Neurospora crassa OR74A: one gene and its partner. The protein of the gene in region 2 purifies or fractionates together with the protein of the main gene of each other region. This does not show direct contact. Links are inferred from orthologs where the notes say so. Each region holds a gene or a part of one and is shown on either strand. Other genes may lie near its edges.

Region 1 (9,877 bases), on a different chromosome or scaffold from region 2:
GTGCTTTGGTGATAGTGACCACCTCGCGCAGTCTTTTTGCGGCGAGTGTTGGCAACGGAGAAACTGATGTGATGAATAGAAGTGGTTCCCCTCAAATGAGCGTCGGAATTACACAAAATGTGCCGAACAGATTTGTCAAAAAGTTCGGAGAGACAAGAGGAATGTTTGCCCCGATGTCACTGTCATGCATCCAGATTTCCCGGTTATCTGCCGTGCGATAATGCAGGAACCCCCACGCCGGCCGCGAATATCAACCGGCGTACCGGAGCCGCAACGTCTTCCGAAGTGCTCGGCCAAGTCTGACCGGGATCTCGATCCATCAAGTGAACTTCCAGGCAAGTCAAGCGTCAAGGAGCGGATATAATTGACAGAACCATAACTTATACAGCCAGGATGCTCTACAATATCGATTGCTTAGTGTAGACTTACATAGCAAGTACCGGTATCCCTACGGGATGACGCACATTGTATGGGTCCCTTAGTGGAACATGATAGTATGTCTATTACGCAGTAAACTTACAACCCATCTCCTGGTTCCTGAATTACAAACATAAACCACACGCCCTCCTCTTTGTCTCCAGGGTAATCGTTGTATGCACAAACTTGGCATTGCCTAATTCCATAACACCACATTTGAACGTATACCAGTAGCAGGATGCTGAAGCTCACTACTTGAAGGATCAATAACAAGCAAACAATCCATTTATATACAGCTCTTGTGCACCGGGGAGGGGCGAGGTAACAGTAGTAATCTCCGGTGCCAATGAACTTCGCCCCAAAAAAGAAACCAAAACGGGTCGGACAATAAATTGATGAGAAAAAAAAAAGCTTGATGCTATCATAAATTCGACGCATGCCACCCAATACTCGTGTAGCAGTACCGTTCTTTCCTTCATGCAGCCATCGCAGCCATACCACCATATCCCATATCACCATATTCGTCCCTCTGTCCATGATTCATCGCCCCTGTTTTTGTCCTTTTATTCTTGTCCGAAACCCATAGTCTCCTCCACAGCAATCGTAAGCTTTTGCTGCAGCATCTCCAGAGACTTGTACGGTGGCAGATCCAACCGGTTGAAACTGCACAAAAAAAAAAAAAAAAAACCTGTTAGCAAAAGTCCTCACCACGTCTTCACCTCCATATTCATACGTACCATGTATGCGCCTTGGGAAGATTCGTAATCTCTCCTGCCTTCTCAATCGTAAATCTACGAGGACCATCACTACCCTGGAGATCCTTGAATCCGTTGACTGGGATACGGGATGTGCCGGTCGTGAACTGGAGCAATCTCGACTTTTGCTCGCCATCCCACGACCGAACAGTCTGCCAGAAGAACTGGATAACCTCGTCTGACTCGGTATAACCACGGTAATCCGTGTGCTTCTTCCAGTCGTCGACATCGATCTCGGCAATACCACCAATCAACAGCTCAAGCTCGCGCTCATCAAACACGTTGATCAGATCCTGCGGGATAAGCTCATGGAAGCCATCCTTGAACGCCCGGAACTGTTGCTCAATGCGCTTTTCGATCCTCCACTTCACCATCAATTCGACATACTCCTTCTTGTTCTCGTTTGTGACCGCAATGTTCCTACCATTGGGGATTAGATCCTCCTCCGTGATTACGCCGAACCGCTCGTCTTCAGTAGAGAAGGTTGCGTCAAGAACGTCGGTGATGTCGTTATCCAGCATCCACTGCAGAGACCGATGGAAATCGGCATCCACACCCTCCATATCCGCCAAGCTGACAGCCTTTCCGAGAACCATCTTGTACAGAGCGCCAATGAAGAAGGCATCCAGGAATCGCCTGTGGAAAATAGCCAGACCCACGACCCGGCCAATGAACTTGAAATAGTTGAGATGCTCAGGGTTGATACCCGAGTGGGGGTTGATCTGGAGGGTGTAGTTATCGTGGGCCGAATACTCGAACAAGCAGTAGAATGGATTGAACATTTCGTGAGAAAGGAGGAAGAAGAACTCGCGCGACAGACCGCCGTAATCGAGGCCGTCCTCGCCGTCGAACTTGATCATCAATCGTTTCTTCAGGTCCGTCGCCGATTGCCTCGAAATCTCCGCAAACGAATCCTCGAAAATGTGCGATCTCCTGACCTTGATGTGACACTGTCCGGACATGATCCGCATAGCAGGCTGCGAACGGAAATAGATGAGCTTCCTCCTGAAGTCTCTCTTGTACTGCGGTACGTTCTGGTCGAGCGACGAAGGCAGACGAGGATCATCCCAGGTCGTTGTCTTGGTATTGTGATCCACGAAGTAGACGCGAGCCGTGTTGGTGAGCCGCATCTCCCAACCACTAGGCAGGGGACCGAGCTGGGACACCGGCTGTTGTTGAATGGTCCCGTTCGTGTTGTTCTGGCCACCGTACATGCGAATGTACTGCTGGCGTCGAGGGTCGACCCAGGTAGTAGTGCGCGTGTTGTGGTCGACAAAGTACGGCCTTCCTTCTGGGGTAAACCTCTGCTCCCAACCAGCAGGTAATTCACCGGTTCCGGGGGTTGTCGCCCCGGTATGCATCATAGTGGCAGCATTGGCGGTGGCGGCAGCTTGCTGCTGCTGTAGGGTGGGGGAATTGGCGCCAGTGCGGTCCTCGGGAAGTGTTCTGTTCTGATGCCGTTGACGCTCGACTTGAGTATTGGCTTCGGCGGTACGGTTTTCGGCCGCCCCTGTGCCAGTTGGCCGATTCCAGCTCGTGGTCCGTGAATTATGATCAACATAATATGTCCTCCCCAAATGATCCTCGCGACGTTCCCAGCCAGCTGGCAATCTTCCCATTGAATCTTCGAAGGGGCTAAGCGTGCTATGGTGCCTGGCTTGCGCCGGAACGAGGGTCGACGGGTTCGTTGGGGCTGTTCCATTTGTCCCGGGGGTCGGGGCTGTCGACGACGACGAAACAGCCAGGCTGGCGGGTCGGCTTGCCAAAGTCATGTTATTGGCGGTTCCATTAGGTCCGGACATGGCTGATGAAGGACGTTCGTTCGCTCTGTCGTTAGAAATAACCGAACTTTGAGGGGTGAGTAGTGATGGTCTGCTCGAAGATGGAGGGGGACCGAGGCGACTCATAGTTGCTGTGAGGTTAGTAGATAGGTTTATGATCAGTTTGCCGTGCACCACAAGGTTGTCGGTCGATTTCTTAAGGTCCCGCGTGAGCATCTGATCTGTGGGTGTGGTGCATGTCAGTCCCAAATCGCGCTGTCAACCTGCAAACACATGTGAATTGCAGTGAAACCTTACCTTCCGCATCGGGAGCCAATTCTATTACGTCCCCTATCCGGACATTGATGACACCGAGGAAACCTTGGTCCTTCTTTTTGAACTTCTTTTGGTCGAACACCTGGACAGCCAGAATGCTGTCCTCATTCACTTTGCTACGTTGTATTAGCCAGCTGGCCCTTGGGCTGTCAAATCTGAGTTAAGGTCGAACCTACAAATCAAAGTGTTCGTTCCAGTATGGGTTTAGGGTACGCTTGGAGACCTGGGTGGTCTTTGTCTGCTCACCGTTAATGGTAGCGACGGCGAACGGGTCGGGAAACCCTATGATGATGATGCGGTTAGCATATGCCACCTGGAAGTGGCTTAGAAGATGCATGACACCTGGCCACGGGGAGAAACATACTGAAGACATCTCGCTTGTATAGACCATCGGCGGCGATGACTAGAGGGGCATGTTAGTACACCGGTTGGTCATCGGACACATTCGTCGCAAAGGGGCTGAGTACTTGTTACGCGGAGATTGGGCTGGCTTTAATCGTGGTGGTTGTTAGCTGGCTGTTCTCTCGCTTATAATCCGCGGTCCCTGAGGGCGACGCAAAGCAGACAAGATGGGTAGATGGAGAGTCCAGTCGTGGGAGAACTTACGCCGGCAGCCCCGAGTCCCGGCTGCTGGTCATTGTTGCAGATGGAGCGCGTCAACAAACTCGCACGCGGGGCTTTAAGTTTTCGTCTCGTTTCTTGGACCAAGCAGAGGCTGGTCGCAATCGGGTCGGGTAGTCGGTCGCTCTCGCTCGTTTGGGATCGAGGACTCGCGGCTGAATGCAGGCGGGGCGGGGATGAAAGGAGGACAAGTCGACGATGGTACAAGCAGGCTGAATGATTGTTACAAAAGGGCCAACTCTCCTTGCGATGGACACTGACGTTGACGAGAACGCGCAGTCACTGGCAACGGAATGGATGCGGCAGGGTGGATGAAATTCTGTAGGTGGCAGTAGGTGGTAGATGGAAGCTAGAGGGACTCTTGAGCGCCCGTAGGTGGTGAGGCTGTGCTGCTCTTGGTAACTCGTGCGTGTGTGGCCAGCCGGCCCCCCCGCTTTGGGTATCTTACGCTGTCAGGTAGTCACGGCGGCGGAAGGCGAACTGCAAGGAAAGGCCAAGCAATCCAAGAGGCCAAGGTTGGACGGCTGTGGCTTGGTAATACTAAGTAATCTCTGTACTAGCAAGGTCGGCAAGGCAGGTCTGATACTTAGGAAACCACTTCTGTGGATCAACCAGCAGGTAGTGTAAACTCGCTCGGATGTCTAGGTTCGTCTGGTAAGGGTACCTTTAGTTAGTAGTGTCGAGGTTGAATGCTGTCGTTGTTTTGTCGCGGTGAAGCTGCTGGAAGTGGCGGGTGGGTGAGCTTGGGTTCGACGGACCAACCCCAAGAAGGTCCAGGTGAAGAGCTCAATGACCTTCACTAAGTTGCAACCGACGGATGAGCCAAAGGATGGGAGGGAAAACGACCGAGAAACCTGGACGTCTTGCGATGTTGCAAAGGTGCAATGGTGCAACGACCCAAGCCAAGAAATTGACAGTCCAAGTTGGATCTAGCATTGGTGAAGAGACAGGGGGAGGTGACAAGACATAATGGTTCAACAGCATTAACGGGAAAGTATGGCTGGCCTAGCATGCTCTGTGCGAGAAGCTTAACTTTTCAGTTAGTAGCTCAGGTATCGCATTAACGAGTGACTACTTTTAGGCCAGGAACTAGTTAGCAGAAGCCTGCAAAGAGCGAGAACTGAAGCGGAAGGTGCGCACAGTGCGGTACTTGACTTCTTCTCTTAAGCAGTTGGTCGGGTCATTCGAGTCCCAGACTCCCAGGGGGCCACATTCACTCCATGCTTGGCACGGCATCCAGATCTCGAGATCAACATCAACAACATCATTGGCACACAAAGAGCAACCTTGGTGTACATGGATCACATAGTCCCGTGTCTTTTCTTAGGAGTTGATGCCCTGTCAGGAAAATATCCCATGGATCACGGCTCAGTCATCGACACAGAGAATTAGAATAGGTAGCTATGCTGGCCTGAATGCCTTTCCATGACTAGGGGTAGGAAAGCACCTCCACCGACCGCCCCAAGCTCCGAGGTCTCTCCAGGAAACGCCAAGATTGTAGTAGAAGCTGTCTGTTCCAAAAACTCTACACAAGAGGTAGCCCAACGATCGGGGATGATGATGATCTTGCGCAGATCTACCAGATATCAAGCCACTACCGAACTTTGAAGAAACCTCCAGAGGCAGTCAATTAGGAAAGTGAACACTTCAAACCTCAACCTTGACAATTCAACGCACAGCACCTCTACATCCCATAACGACGATACACCGCACGGGGTGCAAAAAGGCGTTAGGTCGCTACTTAGCGTATCCCAGTACATGTAGTGTACCCCCGTTGCCGCCGACCGAGACGCTGCTGTTCCAACAATAGCGCATCACCGACATAAACGCCCGTCATTTCCATTTTGATACCCCTCGCGTGCGACGGAACTGCGGGGCGTTACTGCATCTCTGGATTTTCAATTGAGGTTTCTTTTTTTGTTGAGGTGCTTTTGACGATGGGGAGTTCATGGAAGCATAGAGGTACCCATCATATGTACACTAGGTTTGTACACTACACTAGTGGCTGTCATCATTGAACGAAGCGAGACAGCAAATGTGGAGCGCCCTTTGTTCGACACTTCTAAAAAGTGGTAGAGGTAATGCGCAATCCGCGTATAGCTCTTCTACCTAGGTAAGTACTCACTCTACTATACCTCAAAAACCAGCCTCTTTGAATTTCACCACAACCGCCTTCGGTCTTGTCGGAGCAAAGATGTCTTGCGCAGGTGTCTGTTGAGTTGTCATTTGCATGCCCTTTGTATATTGGAGTCGTTCAATTTCGGTGGAAAATGTTGACATGGAGGTTCGCGGCGAAGGCGGCGGCACCTGGCATCTGACGATCCGTGGACTCTTTTTTTTCTCTTTCTTTGTTTTTAGTGTCGGAACAACAATAGCGGTGTGAATAAAGTATCATCGCTACGCTAATTCGAGCACATGTTCGCAGATTGAAGTGTCAAGTGATAGCTTCAATTGTTGCCAAAGCTAGTCATTATGTGGTGATGGCTAGCGGTAACAGACAGCCCATATTAAGCAACTTCGCTGATGATTCCCCTGAGCAGACATAGCCGTAGCAAATGTCGAACCGAAAAGTAGTAGGCGGCGCTTATGCCAAATATCAAATACAAAAATTGAACGTGACATGAATAAACGAAGAAGAAATAAAAGAGCATATGGAATTGGCGTTTTCCTTCGTTTTACCCTCCCACCCATTGACGCCTTGCCGATACGCGCAGCCAAAATGAAAACTTTGAAAATCCCATTGCTCCCATGGTGCAAAAACAGGCCAAGACAACGAACCCTTCCCTTCCTCCACCATTCAAGTGTCCTCCTCTTCCCTGCTGATATATCCTAATCTTACAGCCATCAAAGGGAGAAAAAAAAACGTTCCCATGAATCATGAGCAACACGTACACCGGGTTGCCTGATAGTGATACCAGCTCAGATGAGATCGAGCCCATCTTCACAATTCCAGGTAGTGTCTGCGGATGTCAGAGAGGGGCCGCATACGGCTCTGATTGTCCTGATGGATGCGGGATCATGTGCCGTATGTCAGACCACCACCAAAAAAAACTAGTAAGGAGCGTAGCCTCCTCGGCCGCGTCCACGGTAGCCGCCACGGTAGCCTCCCCTAGGAGGGAAACCGCCCCGTCCACCGAAATAGCCCCCGCGACCGCCTCCGCGGAAGGAACCTCGACCGCCGCGACCGCCGCGCGACATGCCGGGAATATTCGTGCGCTTGGGGACGACCTTGATGTTGCGGCCCTTGAAGACACTCTCGTTGAGAACAAGGGCTTGTGCGACCAGGCTAGGCTCGGTAAACTCGACATACGCGTAACTATTGGATAAATGACACCGTCAGTGTATGTACTTGAGGGTAATCAGCTGGGAAAGAAGAGGAGATGCGTACCCCTTGGGTTGACCGGTAAACTTGTCGAGGAGAATGGTGACACGGTTGATGGACCCGCAGCTCTGGAAGTGCGCCTGGATCTCCTCAGGCGAAGCCGAATAGTCGACGTTTCCGACAAAGATGCTCCGACTGTCGATATCCTCCTTGTTCTCGGTGAGCTCATGATGCTGTTGGTCCAGACTAGCTTGCATCTCGCGGAGTTTGGCAGCCTCCTCTTCCATCTCGGCGACACGGCGCTTCATGGCCGAGATCTCCTCCTGTTCACGATTACTTGGTGTTAGCGCCTGCACTCCGCGTGGAAGCAAACACGGTGGATCGTATCGCTGGGCTTGGGCCGGAGCTGGCGCACCTCATCATCGTTGACATCGTCTCCCGCGTTTTGCTGCTCTTGCTGCTGCTGCTGCTGCTGCTGCTCCTCCTGTTGCTCCTGAGCGGCCTCTTGGGGCTTCTCCCCCTCGTTCACCACAGACGACATGTTGCTGGTATGATTGATTGAAGAGCTGCTTGTCGCGATTGTGTCGCGTGCAATACGGTCAACTCCTGGTTGTGTAAAGGAACTGAAGTTGGCAGGTCAGTGAGAGAAACCTGAATGAGCGGGATCGAAAAGTGGTGGTTTGGGTCAGGCTGGCGCAACGGGCTGTGGGAGCGAGGCCAAGGTGGTCAGGTTGTTGGTCACCGATGCAATGGTGGAGGAAAAGGAATACAAAAGTGGGGAGGGGTCCGCTCCCGTGGACCTTCCAAAAGACGGGACCTGGCTGGAGCAAGGGATGGGGAGGGGACTGGACCAGGAACCTTGAAGCCCAACTCTTTAACTTACTTTTAGTTGAACGGGACAGCACCGCCTTTTTGTAGAGCCTTGAGAAGCTTGTTGCGAGAAAGAATGTGTTTGTTGCGTGGTGGGATGGGGCTGACGATGGCACAATCGGACTGAAAGACGGGGCCCTGGTCGACGCAAAGAAAGTCGTTTGGCCTTCTGCAGCTGTTCCGTCACGTCTTCTCCATGTGCGCTTTGATGGGGAAATTGGAATCGGGGGGTTCTCCAAAACCTTGGGCTGGGTGACGCCGAAGGAGGGTGGCGTGAGTGTAGTGACAAGCACTGCTTGGCTCCTAAGTAGATAGGGGGCACGTGCCACCCTGTTCGTGCCCTGAGCAGCGGGAGATAACGACCTGGGACTTTGGGAGGAACTTGGACTTGCACTGCGCAAGAACTTGTGAAAGGCTTCACGCGAGGTCATTGGGATCCTCAACGAACTTTCTGTATCAGATGCAGGTAGTTTAACCAGTACTTCTTTCATTACTTATCTGATTCGGCATTACCTTAGGACCCAACGCGAGCTACAAGTTTTCATTATCGGCAGGGAGAGTTTCGGAACTGATGATTTAAATGCGTGTTTGGTAGCTATCTGCCAGTCAACATCTTGGTTCAGGCATTACATGTACTGCCCGAGTTCTCTTCCCAGACTAACTGCCGTCAACGTCACTTACCTCAAACAGTCACATTGATGTATCGCCCCTCCATTATTGTATTTGATCCTTCGATTACCATTTTAGCAAGATATGACACTCCGAAGACCATCGTAATAACATACAGAGGATCGAAACTCAATTGTCATTCTCTCTCGGCATCTTCGTACCCACATTGAAGCCCTCGATACCCATCACTACCTTAGCTTCATAAGGTACAATATTCATCAAGCTCTTTACTAACGAAGGACCAGACGTAGAAGTCGGTTAAGTCAATTGTATCTTCATTAAGCGCCGGTCACCTGGTTGAAATGCTGTAAGCCAGGTCAAGGTTGCGTGGACGCTTGTCGAAGCCAGCGTCAGAATATGCCTCGGGCGAGGACATCATCAGGCGCGGGAGGGTTGACCGAATACTCTTCTCCTATTACTCGCATATTGATGGGGTCAACATAGCTTACTGTCCCTACTCCCAAGTGGGTGCGTCTCGTTGTAACAGCGAGCGCAGCAGAAACCGCGATACCAGTTAGGGCAGGCATTGTCTTCACGTTGCCTATCTCCAGCCATTCAGTACCAGAACATCTTCAACTTCGGAACGCCTCTGGCAAGATGGCCGGCGCTATCTTAGATATAGAGCGAACATATCCTAAGACTCAACGGGGTTAACTGGAGCTGGTGCGGCTGGCAAATATGACCAGTCAATTCGAATCCCCCTCGGGGTACATACAATTGGGATTCAGAGGGTTTAAGCAGGTTCTCTCCGTGGTCAAGCCGTCGATGGGCTAGAAAACCAGTGCCCGGTGCGCGGTGCTGGTGGTACAATTCTCAAAGCCGGCAGCTGGTCAGTTCGGACTTTGACTTGGGCGGTTGAGCTTTTTGTCCCTTATCCTCTTCTTCCAAACTTCTCCTCCGGCAGATTGACATGCTGGATCAAGCTCTTCTGTTCCCCGTTGAATGGCGGTTCTTTTTCAATGAAAATCAGATGTTCGGTCCCTTTGCATGCCTGCGCACCGGAAGGCTGATAGCTGTCGCCAAAGCAACTTGACCACATATCTGGAAAGACGATGGCTTACTGTAGTTTCCATACCCTTACGCAACACCTTCTCCGGAATCATGGAGTTCTGCGATTCGTAAGGTAA
Region 2 (9,928 bases):
CAGCAAGCCGAAGATAGTCAAGTCATTCACAATTACCGCCACGAATTTATAGTGGCCATGATCATCCCATGCATCGCTTGGTCGTCACTTGGAATATTTAGCCATCATCGCTAAAACCACATAGAACATCTTCTGACAATGAGGCACATTCGCATGCGATAGAAAAATGGTATCATTCTTTGAGCCCACCAGACCCCTCCCTCTCTGGACATCCATGATGAATCCAACAATGCCTTTATATGCTCCCAACCAAGCGAGCCAAATATGCCATCTCACAAAGTGCTCTCTTGACATTGTTAGCAGCTCCTTCCAGCCACCACATACAACCTCTTTGTTTGTCATCTCAGACCTCCTCTCCCCCTATTCCACAAAAGACTACTAGTAGTAATCCCCCCCATCATCCCCACCCTCATCATAATCATCATCATCCTGGTTTCCATCAAAGTACTGCTCCGCATTATAATCATCCCCACTATCCTCCTCGAAATCGTCGTCCTCTTCGGCCACCGGGTTGCCGTCCTCATCCTCGTTATTCTTGACCCAATCATCCTCATCATCATCCGACAGGATCCCCACCGCCGCATCCTCTCCTCCGTCCTCGACCTTCTTCTCCACCATCTCCAACAACTGCAGCGCTCGTTGGTAATTGGGTTCGCCTCCTTCTCCTTCTTGTGATGCTGCGCCATTAGCGACTTTGGAAAGACCAAACACGTCTTCGGCCGTCTTGTACTCTGCCGACGACAACGCAATAGTTTTTGCCGTCGTCGTCGTCGTCGTCTTGCGCCGTTTCGCTCCAGAGGAGGCCACCGAACTCGAACCACCATCAATCCCATCCAGCGTAGCATGTAATTCCGCGGGGAAGAATTCTTTGGCGAATGGCCTGGACGCCAAGTCAGGCAACGTCCGTTCCTTTTGCTGGAACTTGTGCGAGTAGCTGGGGACGCCATCCTCAAAGATGTCAATGGTCGCTTTGGCGCTGCTTCCAAAGAGACTACTACTTGCTGAGGTCGACGACGAAAAAGAGGTGGTGCCGGCGGCCCACGTGCGGGATTGCGTGTAGAGAGGCGAGTCGTGGCATTGTTCGCGGAACGAGAGGAAGAAGGAGACTTGTCGGTCGTCCTTTTTCGAGAGGACCGGCGCGCGGGGCACTTTGTAAGGAGGGAAAAGCTCCGAGGGCTTCCCGTCCAGAGCAATGGTCGGGTCCATTTGCCAGGGGACCGAGTTGGCGGCTACTGCGCGACGACCGCCGCGGCCACCGCCAAATCCTCCGCCTCCGCCGCGGCCGCCGCGACCGCCTCGTCCTCCTCGGCCGGACATGGTGGTGATGTTCTTGTGTGGTGTTCCTCTGGGGTTATACGAGGGGTTCGATCGACTCGGTCGTGGTAGTTGGGGGGGGGGGTATGTCGAGCTGTGTAATCCTGACAGGTAGGATATATCGTCAAAGTGGTAGTGTCTCGTTAGGTAGGTGATGATGATGTTGTTGACGCCAGAGTCAATATGATGAAGGGACGGGAATGTCTTCCTTCTCCAAAAACTTACAACAAAGTCCCAATCGATAACGAAACGCGAATTAAAACTGGAGTCACTTTTTTTGCCCCACACTTCTTCCAGCGGGAGCAGGGGTTTTGCCAGGGTGCGTTCGTTACGCTAAGCTGAATTGGGGCTGAAGCTCGAGTCTTGGCTTCTTCCCCCCCACTGTTCCGTGGTATCCACCAGCAGCTTCCCCAACGCCCGCTGCTGCAGATCACTGAACCGCCGCTGACCTTCTTCCACTGGACATCTTCCCTTTGTTGTTTGCCATCATCATCATCACCACCCTCGCTGCCGTCGCCGATTCTTTGACCATATCCGAGCTATATCGAAGGCGAACATCGAGATTGTAGAAAACGAAGAACACAACGAGTTATGCCAACAGACACCATGGACAACAACATCCCCATCACTGGTCTCGATGACCTCACGGCGCACATGGACGCTCTCATCGCCGACCCTTCCACTCCCCTCGAAGCCAAGCTGTTCGACGACATCGAGCTCCAGCTTACGGGTATGTGCCTGCCACTCTTCTCTTCCCTACTCTGCCTCCTAGAAACACGTCCAGTAAACTAACTTCTACTTTCAACAGACTCCAACACCCCTCCCCTCCTCACCACCCTCCTCCCCCGCCTCGTCCAAATCCTACACACCACCCCCTCCGACCCAACCACGCCCGCCTCGTTAACGACCAAACTCCTCCGCCCTCTCTCCTTCAGCCAAATCACCTCCCTCGCGCCTCCCGAATCCCTAATCCAAGCGCTCGAATCACCCTTTCCCGCAGCCAACATCCTCGCCATGACAATACTCCACAAAGCCGCTGCCGCTCCAGCCGAGGTAGCCCAGCTAGCAGACATGCAAGAAGTCGTCCATTCCTTCGTCAGAACCTGGCTAGGCAGCAGCGAAGTAGGCGTCGGAGAAAAAGGCGGGCGAGTCATCGGTGACCTATTGGACGTCGACTGCGAATTCGACCCTCCGGCACGACCACAACGACAACAACAACAACAACAACAACAACAACAACATCCGCTCGATGCCGGGATGCCTACATGGCATGATATGGTCTTACGAAAGGAAAAAGGGTCAGGGGCGTTGTGGCGACGAGTATTTGCCGACCAACAAGTCTACAGCCTGATTCTGGATTTACTAGCGGGTCGACATGAAGATACGAATATCACTTCTACTTCCGACGTAGAGGAAAAGAAGAAGAAAGGCAGACAATTGACCCTTGCACAAGGGAGGATACTGAGGATTTTACCGAGACTGGCGGCCCTGGATCTGAACAAGGTAGCTCGGAGCGAAGTGGCGGCACCAACACCGGGATACTACCTTTATGCTACGGCGAGAACAACAACAAACGGTCACAACACATCTCGTCCAAACGGGAGGACAACAAACTACAACAGCGACATCCTCACCAACGGCGTCGGAGTCGAACAAGAAGAGGAAGAAGAAGAAGCAACGCAAATGCCCCTCCCGGCACCACCAAAACAGGGACAAGGCCTGCTTCACTTTGCTGCCCTCCGCATGGTCGATCGCAATGATGTGCTTATGCATTTATCCCTGATTGACTTCTTTGAGGCCTTTGTCGGGTTGATGCGCGTGACGCCCCATTCCGAGGACAAGGTGAATATCGTCAAGGAGATTGTGAGAGAGGCGGTGGCGGATGATGAGTTGCTGAGGGAGAGCTTGGAGGGGTTACCGGATAGGACGGTGGATGAGGAAAGGGATGAGTTGAGGGGATGGGTGAGGGAGGTGATGCCTCCGAGGGAGGAGATAGATGTGGTTATGAGGTAGTGATCGAAACGGAGGCCGGTGTAGGAGAATGGGAGGATGGGTAGGTTACGAACTGGTTACGAGCTGGTTAGGCATGGAAAGGATGATCTGGAGAGGAGAGCTGATAATGGGTTGTCGGTAATGGGCTGGATGAAGCGAAAGGCAAAGGCAAAGGCAAAGGGAATTGCAGCTTTGGTGCTCGGGTACCGTACCTTTCTAATATTAAGTCGATCTAATATTTAAGTACTCGCATCACAGAGAAACTTGATTAATGGCCCATTATGCACGGTACGATCATCATCATTAGAGGAGCAAGCAGTAAGTATTTGATTTCTTTTTCTTCTTCTTCTTCTTCTTCTTCTTCTTCTTCTTCTTCTTCTTCTTCTTCTTCTTCTTCTTCTTCTTCTTCTTCTTCTTCTTCTTCTTCTTCTTCTTCTTCTTCTTCTTCTTCTTCTTCTTCTTCTTCTTCTTCTTCTTCTTCTTAGACAACACAACACAACACAGCACAACACAACAGCTACATACCGTACACACAATGTTTCGGTTGATAAAGCAGAACCATACCTAGTCTGCCAGATAACTAAGCAGTTGAAAAAAAAAACAAAAAAAAAAATAATTAGTTAAAGACGCACATTTTCCTTTCCATGCCAAAACCAAAGCCAGACCTGAACAAAACTGTGTTTACAAGAACTACGTTGCACTGTGTTAGTAGTTATTGTACGCGCATTACCGAAAATATATGTAAATATATATATATATATATATAAGAAACAGAAATAGGATCCCGTTTTGCTCTACCCTTTCCATTACCCCCATCCATCCCTACACTACACTACACTACACTACACTACACTATCTATATCCTCGCCTTGGTATCTTCTTCTTCCGTCATCTTCCTTCCTCTACCTCGCCATATCCTCCCCTTCTCCCTCCCCTTCTCTTTCTCCCTCCCTCTCCCTTTCCCTCTCCCGATAACCACCACCACCACCACCACCACCAATCGTCCCCACAGTCATAGTACTAACCACACTCTCCGTCCTATCATGCCCATAGGCCATCCTCCCATTACCACTCATCACCAACGTATCCTGTCGCCTGTGATTCGACGACAACCTCCCCGTAGAGTTAGAGTTAGAGTTGGAGCTACCAACCAACCCCTCAATCCCCAACCCCACCTCTCCCACCCGTCTCAACACCCCCAGCAACGCCTGCCTCAGTTCCCTCTCGCCTTGCCCCAACTCCTTCCCCAGCAACTCAATCACCACAGGGTACACCTCATGCAAATGTTTCTTGAAGTCTTCTTCTCCGAACCCTCTGCCTTCCTTCATCTCGCCCTTTTCGGGGTTACTAACGCCCCCGGCAAACCCATTCAACACCTCCACCACCACGGGCCTCCACGCCTGGATATTCCTATTCTGACTTTCTTCTTCCAGCGAGACATACACGCGGACAATGTCCAGACATAAAGGGACCAAAGCCCGTTCGACATCGGCCTTGGACGCGAGACGCTCGGGAGAGGTGTCGGCGAACATCCTGAATAGGATCGAAACATAGACAGCGGCGCTGCCTGATTCCTGTTTGAGCAGGTTCGGCGGCTGTTTCATGAATCCCTCGCGCCAGAGACGCATGCGCAAGTCTTTGTCGGCGTTGAAGCGCTTGGCGAACAGGTAGGAGCGCTTCAAAAGGGACATGAGTTTCAAGAGCAGCGGGGAGGGGATGTGGCTGTAGACCGAGTCGTTGGAGAAGAGCTCTTGGACGGTCTCGATCATGAGCAGTTGCAGGACGCAGCGGCTGATGATGCGGTTGAAGAAGCGGCGGCGGGCGGCGGTCACGACGGGCGGTTGTTGTTGAAGGGTGGTGGATGGCTTGAATTCCTCGAGACCCTGGCCGCCGGGGGTGTTGGGTGGGTGCGAGGAAAGCGCGGTGGAAGCCGTGAGACGGTTGTGAACTGAGGAATGGGAGTCCTCTTCGGGGTTGATACCGCCGTTGGTGTGGGGCGTTTGGTGGATGGAGGAAGTTTCGGAGCCGGCGTCGTTGTCGCCGTTGATCTTGAGGGAGCGGGTGTCGGCGTCGGCACCGTCGGCGGAGGGACTGAGTTGGCTGGCGTAGTCGAGGCCGTTGGACGCTGACAAGGGGGTGGAAATGGTGGCCGCTTTGAAGAGCTGGTGCGCGGTGGTCTTGTCGAATAACTCGCAGAAGGTGTCGACGATCTTTTGCCAGTGTTCGTGGGTGAACTTTTCGACATTTTGCAGGATCAAGGTCTGCAGGCAGTTGCTGCCGATGCGAGCAATGGTGTCGTTTTCTTGAAGGATGCAGAGCGCCAGCAGTTCGAGGAACCGGTCGAGCATGTACTCCAATGGGTTGAAGTAGTGCGTGAACAGAGTGATCATGTTGCGCAGGGCTTGGATCATGGTAGTGGACAACCAAACCGACAACTCCTCGTGGCTAAGAGCATTGGACATTTCGGGCTTCGACCGTAGCACCATGAAGATGGGATACAACTGCTGCCTCCACAAGATATCCCAGAACCCAAGCGGGAATGTGGCTCCATACTTGAGCAGGGCATCAAAGAAGTAGTTGAGGGCGTTCGACCGTACTTCCAAATCCTCGCCGGTCATGAGAACGTCATGGAAGGCGAACAGAACAGGGAACCAGAAACCCTCCTCCACCGTTGTGCCCGTTTCTTGACCAGTCGGCTTGGTGGCAGCGTTGAGAGCCATCTCGGCAGAGTTTACTTCCGAGTTCTGCTTATGCGACAGCGGACACTCGGGTGTCTTGAGCATCTTGGGAATGATGCTCTTGAGCGTCTCCATCGCCTGCAGACTCTTCTTCTGGAACTTCATGTTCTTGGAAAACTCGGTCAAGCAGACGATCAAATCGGTAAACGCGCCCTGGGTGATGACCACGCCGAAGCGCGTCTTGTACACATGCAGAACGTGCTCATAAGCCAGGTTGACGATGCTCTCGTACTGGTCCTTGGCGGCCACGGTAAAGACGCCAAACATGGTCCTCCAGCCGGAACGGATCTTGTCTCCCTTGGCCTGGATCATCTGAATCAGACATCTCAAAATCATATCCTTGACAGTAATGTTGTTCGAGTTGGACATGACATGCTCAAACGGCTTGAGAAAGTCCTTCTGGAACTTGAAACCCGCCAACTCCTCAATCTCCATAAAGCGCGTAGACAGCTGACGCAGCGAGTCCAGAGCAAAGAACACGATAGCGGCATTGACGTGGCACCCGACCCGGTTGAAGTGCTCACCCAACACATCCCAGATGTTGGTCCACTCGAACCTCACACGCGTCATGTTGTAGTACGAAATCTCGACAATCTTCTGCAGACTGTAAGTGCGCGGCGAGTCGTTCGACCCGGACACCTTGATCTCATCCCAGCTGACTTCGGTCAAGGCACGGGCAAAGTGAACAATGGCCTCGCCGCTGAGGTGGGCGGTGTTGGTGAAGATGCGGTCGACGCTCTTAATGACTTCGTCCGAACGGCTTTCGAGGGCAATTTCCATTGAGACGCCCTGAGGGCCCGTGTTTGATCGTGGGCGATGTCGCTTGGCAGCCATAGACTTGCGGGAGTCCGTCGAGTCGCTTCTTGGTGGAGGAACGAAACGGGCCTTGGAGACGTCGGGGACGGCACTCTCGTCGACACCACCCGAGATGAGCTGGAGACGATCAAGCTGGCTGATACAAAGGAGAACATCCTTCCACGACTCCTTGAGGAGGTTGCCTTCTGTCTGTCCAAGCTCAAGAATCACCTTGAGGGCCTCGACGTTCTTAGCTTGAATCTCCTGGGGGTTGTTGAGATTGGCCGTGTTCTTGAGCGCCGAGATAAAGGCTTCTCTAGGAGTGCTGAGATCAAAGAAGCAAGCAATCTTGGTCGCAAGCTTCATACCCTCCAGACACAGCTTGTTCACATCCAGGTTATGTGTCTTTTGCATCTGGCTGGACAGGGCCGAGAAGAAGGACATCCACGTCACATCAAACATGGGCGATACATGCTTGAACGAGGTAGCGGGGATGAACTTGATGCCGCCCATCTTTTGCGCATTCTTCCGTTGACTACGGTACAAGTCCTTGAAGAGCTGCTCCGACCGAATGGCGATTTCTTCAGACTGTTGAGCATATGCCTCCCTCTGCAGGTCACGACCGACGTTGGAAAAGGCCTGGCCAAGTCCAGCAGCCAGACCGGTTGACTGTGCTGGAAGCGTTCCCGCCGCAGCCGCCGCTTCCCGCTCACTCTTGAGGACAATCTCGTTGTTGGCAATATCGTCGTAGATGCTGATGAGGTACTCGTCCGGAAGGTTGGCGTTATCGTTGATACCGCGGTTGTTCTTGATAAAGTCCTCCTTGGTCATGCGCCTGACAATCTTGCTGCTGTGGAGATCCGTGTTCAGCATGATGACGGAGTACGCCAGCACATAAGGGGTATCAGCATTGGCAAAGGCCTTGGGGTTTCCCAGCATGTATCGGTTGGCGAACTTGAGCATGAAACGATCAATCTTTTGGGCCTCACCGGGCAAGCGGAAAGCCTGAAGAAACTGGCGCAAGGCATCCACGAAGCGCTTCTTGGTGAAGTCCATGGTGTCGACGAAAGCGTGCATGATGTCAATGTTCTTCTGATCACCCTCACCGAGGTATTCGCCGATCTGGGCCTTGTCCAGCCTCTCCTCGCTGATCAAGAACTTGGCAATGGCGTCGGGCGTGTCTTCGGGGATAAAGCCTTCCTTCAACAACAATTTGATGCCGTTCTTGGGCTTGTAGTTGAACACGCGGATAGCGTTTCCGAGAGCCGTCTTCCTCTGCTTTTCCTTTTCCAGCTGGTCGGGGTCATCGTCAAGCAGCGGTGTCGATGGCATGGTCGGGGTGTCTAAACGGGATAGGGACTCGCCCATGATCGAAGGGTCCATGGATTCCCGGATCTCATCGCTTGACGGCCGTCTTTCGGAAATGCCCGTTCCCGTGGTGATGACCTCTGGGCGCCCTGGATGGGACCAGTTGAGAAGCGACCTAAGCGACTCAACAAGGGAATCCAGAGCTTGCCTCTTTAGAACATAGTCCTTGGGGATATCGCCATCGGTGTCGGTATTTTGGGCTATCAGGGCAACGGTAAGTGGTGGTGGCAAAACGTTGCGCATCTGCCACTCGCTGGCTGACCCATACTTGGCATGGTTTTCCTCGTACTGCTGTTCTTGTAGTGCCGTGACGGTCGTAGACGACGTCGCAAACTTGGACAAGTCCTCGACGATGCGCTGGAAAATATTGTCGACATTTCGGTCGCAATCGTAATTAAGGTAGAACTCGACCAATGCCCGGGGATCCTCACATAGCCTCTTGAGGATACTGACAAAGGCGAGCTTCTGGGACAAGGGGGCGGTCCTCCGCGCCAAAAGGGCTAGGTAGATTTCGTTCAAGAAGACCTCGATTTCTTTCTGTTGGCGTGTTAGCACATGTCCTCCCTGTTCCTACCAAAGCACAGCACACGACAAACCTTGAATGGAGCCCTCATGTACTTGAGCATTAGCCAAAAGATCTCACAGCAAATATTAAATACTCTATCGACCGAGCTAGCCCCGTTCCGTGTGATACTCAAACACAGATAGTACTTTGTGGCCTGCAAAAAGCTGGTGGGCTCGTTGTTCTTGGTATTGGTGATGGTACAGTAGGGCGAAGTGAAAACAGAAATGTTGTTGTTGAGAAGGGTGTGGATGAGGTGGAGGGAGATGAGCTTGGACCGCATGGGCTGGCCGCGGAGGTCGTAGAGCTGGTCGGGCGGCAGGATCTTGGTCGAGAGGTTGCAGAAGGAGCGGAAGACGAGGTAGGCGTCGCGGATGTACACTTCGTCCTCGGCGTCCAACGACTCGGGGCTGTCCTCCTGGGCGCTCTCGGGCACGCTCTGTTCCGACACGGACCTCGCAGGCTTCCTGTTGGGTTTTAGCTGGGTGACCATGGTAGGGCCATCTCCGAGATTGGAGTCGTCGAAGCTCTTGCGGTGCTCGAGGTCCTTGAGGGTGAGCTTGGGGCCGTCGCCGTTGCCATCCCCATCTTGTAATTGCGATTCGGACGCATCTTCGGGGACGTTCTCGTCATCGTCTCCGTTGGCCTCCTCTTGTGTGGAATTTTGACCGTCGGATGAGCCGTTGACGTTGAAACTGCTCTGGCTCCGCTTCAGCTTGCTCAGATTGGCGCGGGCCTCCCTCATGTGCAGCCTGGCGCTGACTCTCTCGAACACGGTTCCGACCATTTGTGTGAGGGTCCCCTGGGCGACCTGCTGGTTGGCCGTACTCCTGGAAAGGAGGAAGATGTTGTAAACCTGGCGCACAGCCTTGAGCAGGCCGGCGCCGTGGACGACAATCTTGTCATTGAGGACGGCGGCCAAGAGGGACTTGACAATCTGTAGCTGGATCTCGACCAGGGTGGCCTCGCCCTGGAAGCAGTCGCAGATGGTGTCGATGGCGCGTTCGATTAGGGGCAGGTATTGCTGCTGTTGTGGTTGGCCATCCTCGCTCGCCGCCGCGGACCGGCCGGAAGGGACGGAGAAGTAGGTGGAGGAGATGAGCTTGCCGATGCAGTCGAGGGCGGTTGTAGTCAAGGGGATGGTGCCGGACTTGGTGGC

What was found.
Region 1: the proteins of NCU07658 (region 2) and NCU03947 purify together in Saccharomyces cerevisiae (affinity purification with mass spectrometry; 3 studies listed by BioGRID, with this or other methods). This does not show direct contact. The link is inferred for Neurospora crassa OR74A from reciprocal best matches to the Saccharomyces cerevisiae genes SEC7 and RSP5.

What each region holds. Positions count from the first base shown.
Region 1 is NC_026506.1:2,201,938-2,211,814, reverse strand, and holds NCU03947 (ubiquitin ligase), read right to left. Parts: upstream 4,742-9,877; 5' UTR 3,907-4,741; coding exon 3,875-3,906; intron 3,759-3,874; coding exon 3,736-3,758; intron 3,672-3,735; coding exon 3,633-3,671; intron 3,551-3,632; coding exon 3,445-3,550; intron 3,385-3,444; coding exon 3,251-3,384; intron 3,175-3,250; coding exon 1,155-3,174; intron 1,081-1,154; coding exon 981-1,080; 3' UTR 597-980; downstream 1-596. Other genes in the region: NCU03946 (polyadenylate-binding protein 2), read right to left, coding at 6,941-7,205, 7,278-7,534, 7,627-7,752. UniProt on the Saccharomyces cerevisiae protein: E3 ubiquitin-protein ligase which accepts ubiquitin from an E2 ubiquitin-conjugating enzyme in the form of a thioester and then directly transfers the ubiquitin to targeted substrates.
Region 2 is NC_026504.1:420,354-430,281, forward strand, and holds the end of NCU07658 (protein transporter sec72), read right to left. Parts: coding exon 8,804-9,928; intron 8,745-8,803; coding exon 4,209-8,744; 3' UTR 4,037-4,208; downstream 1-4,036. Other genes in the region: NCU07656 (hypothetical protein), read right to left, coding at 379-1,317; NCU07657 (hypothetical protein), read left to right, coding at 1,906-2,044, 2,123-3,327. UniProt on the Saccharomyces cerevisiae protein: Guanine exchange factor that acts as an activator of ARF1 at the trans-Golgi network and is thus involved in vesicular budding and traffic between compartments of the Golgi apparatus.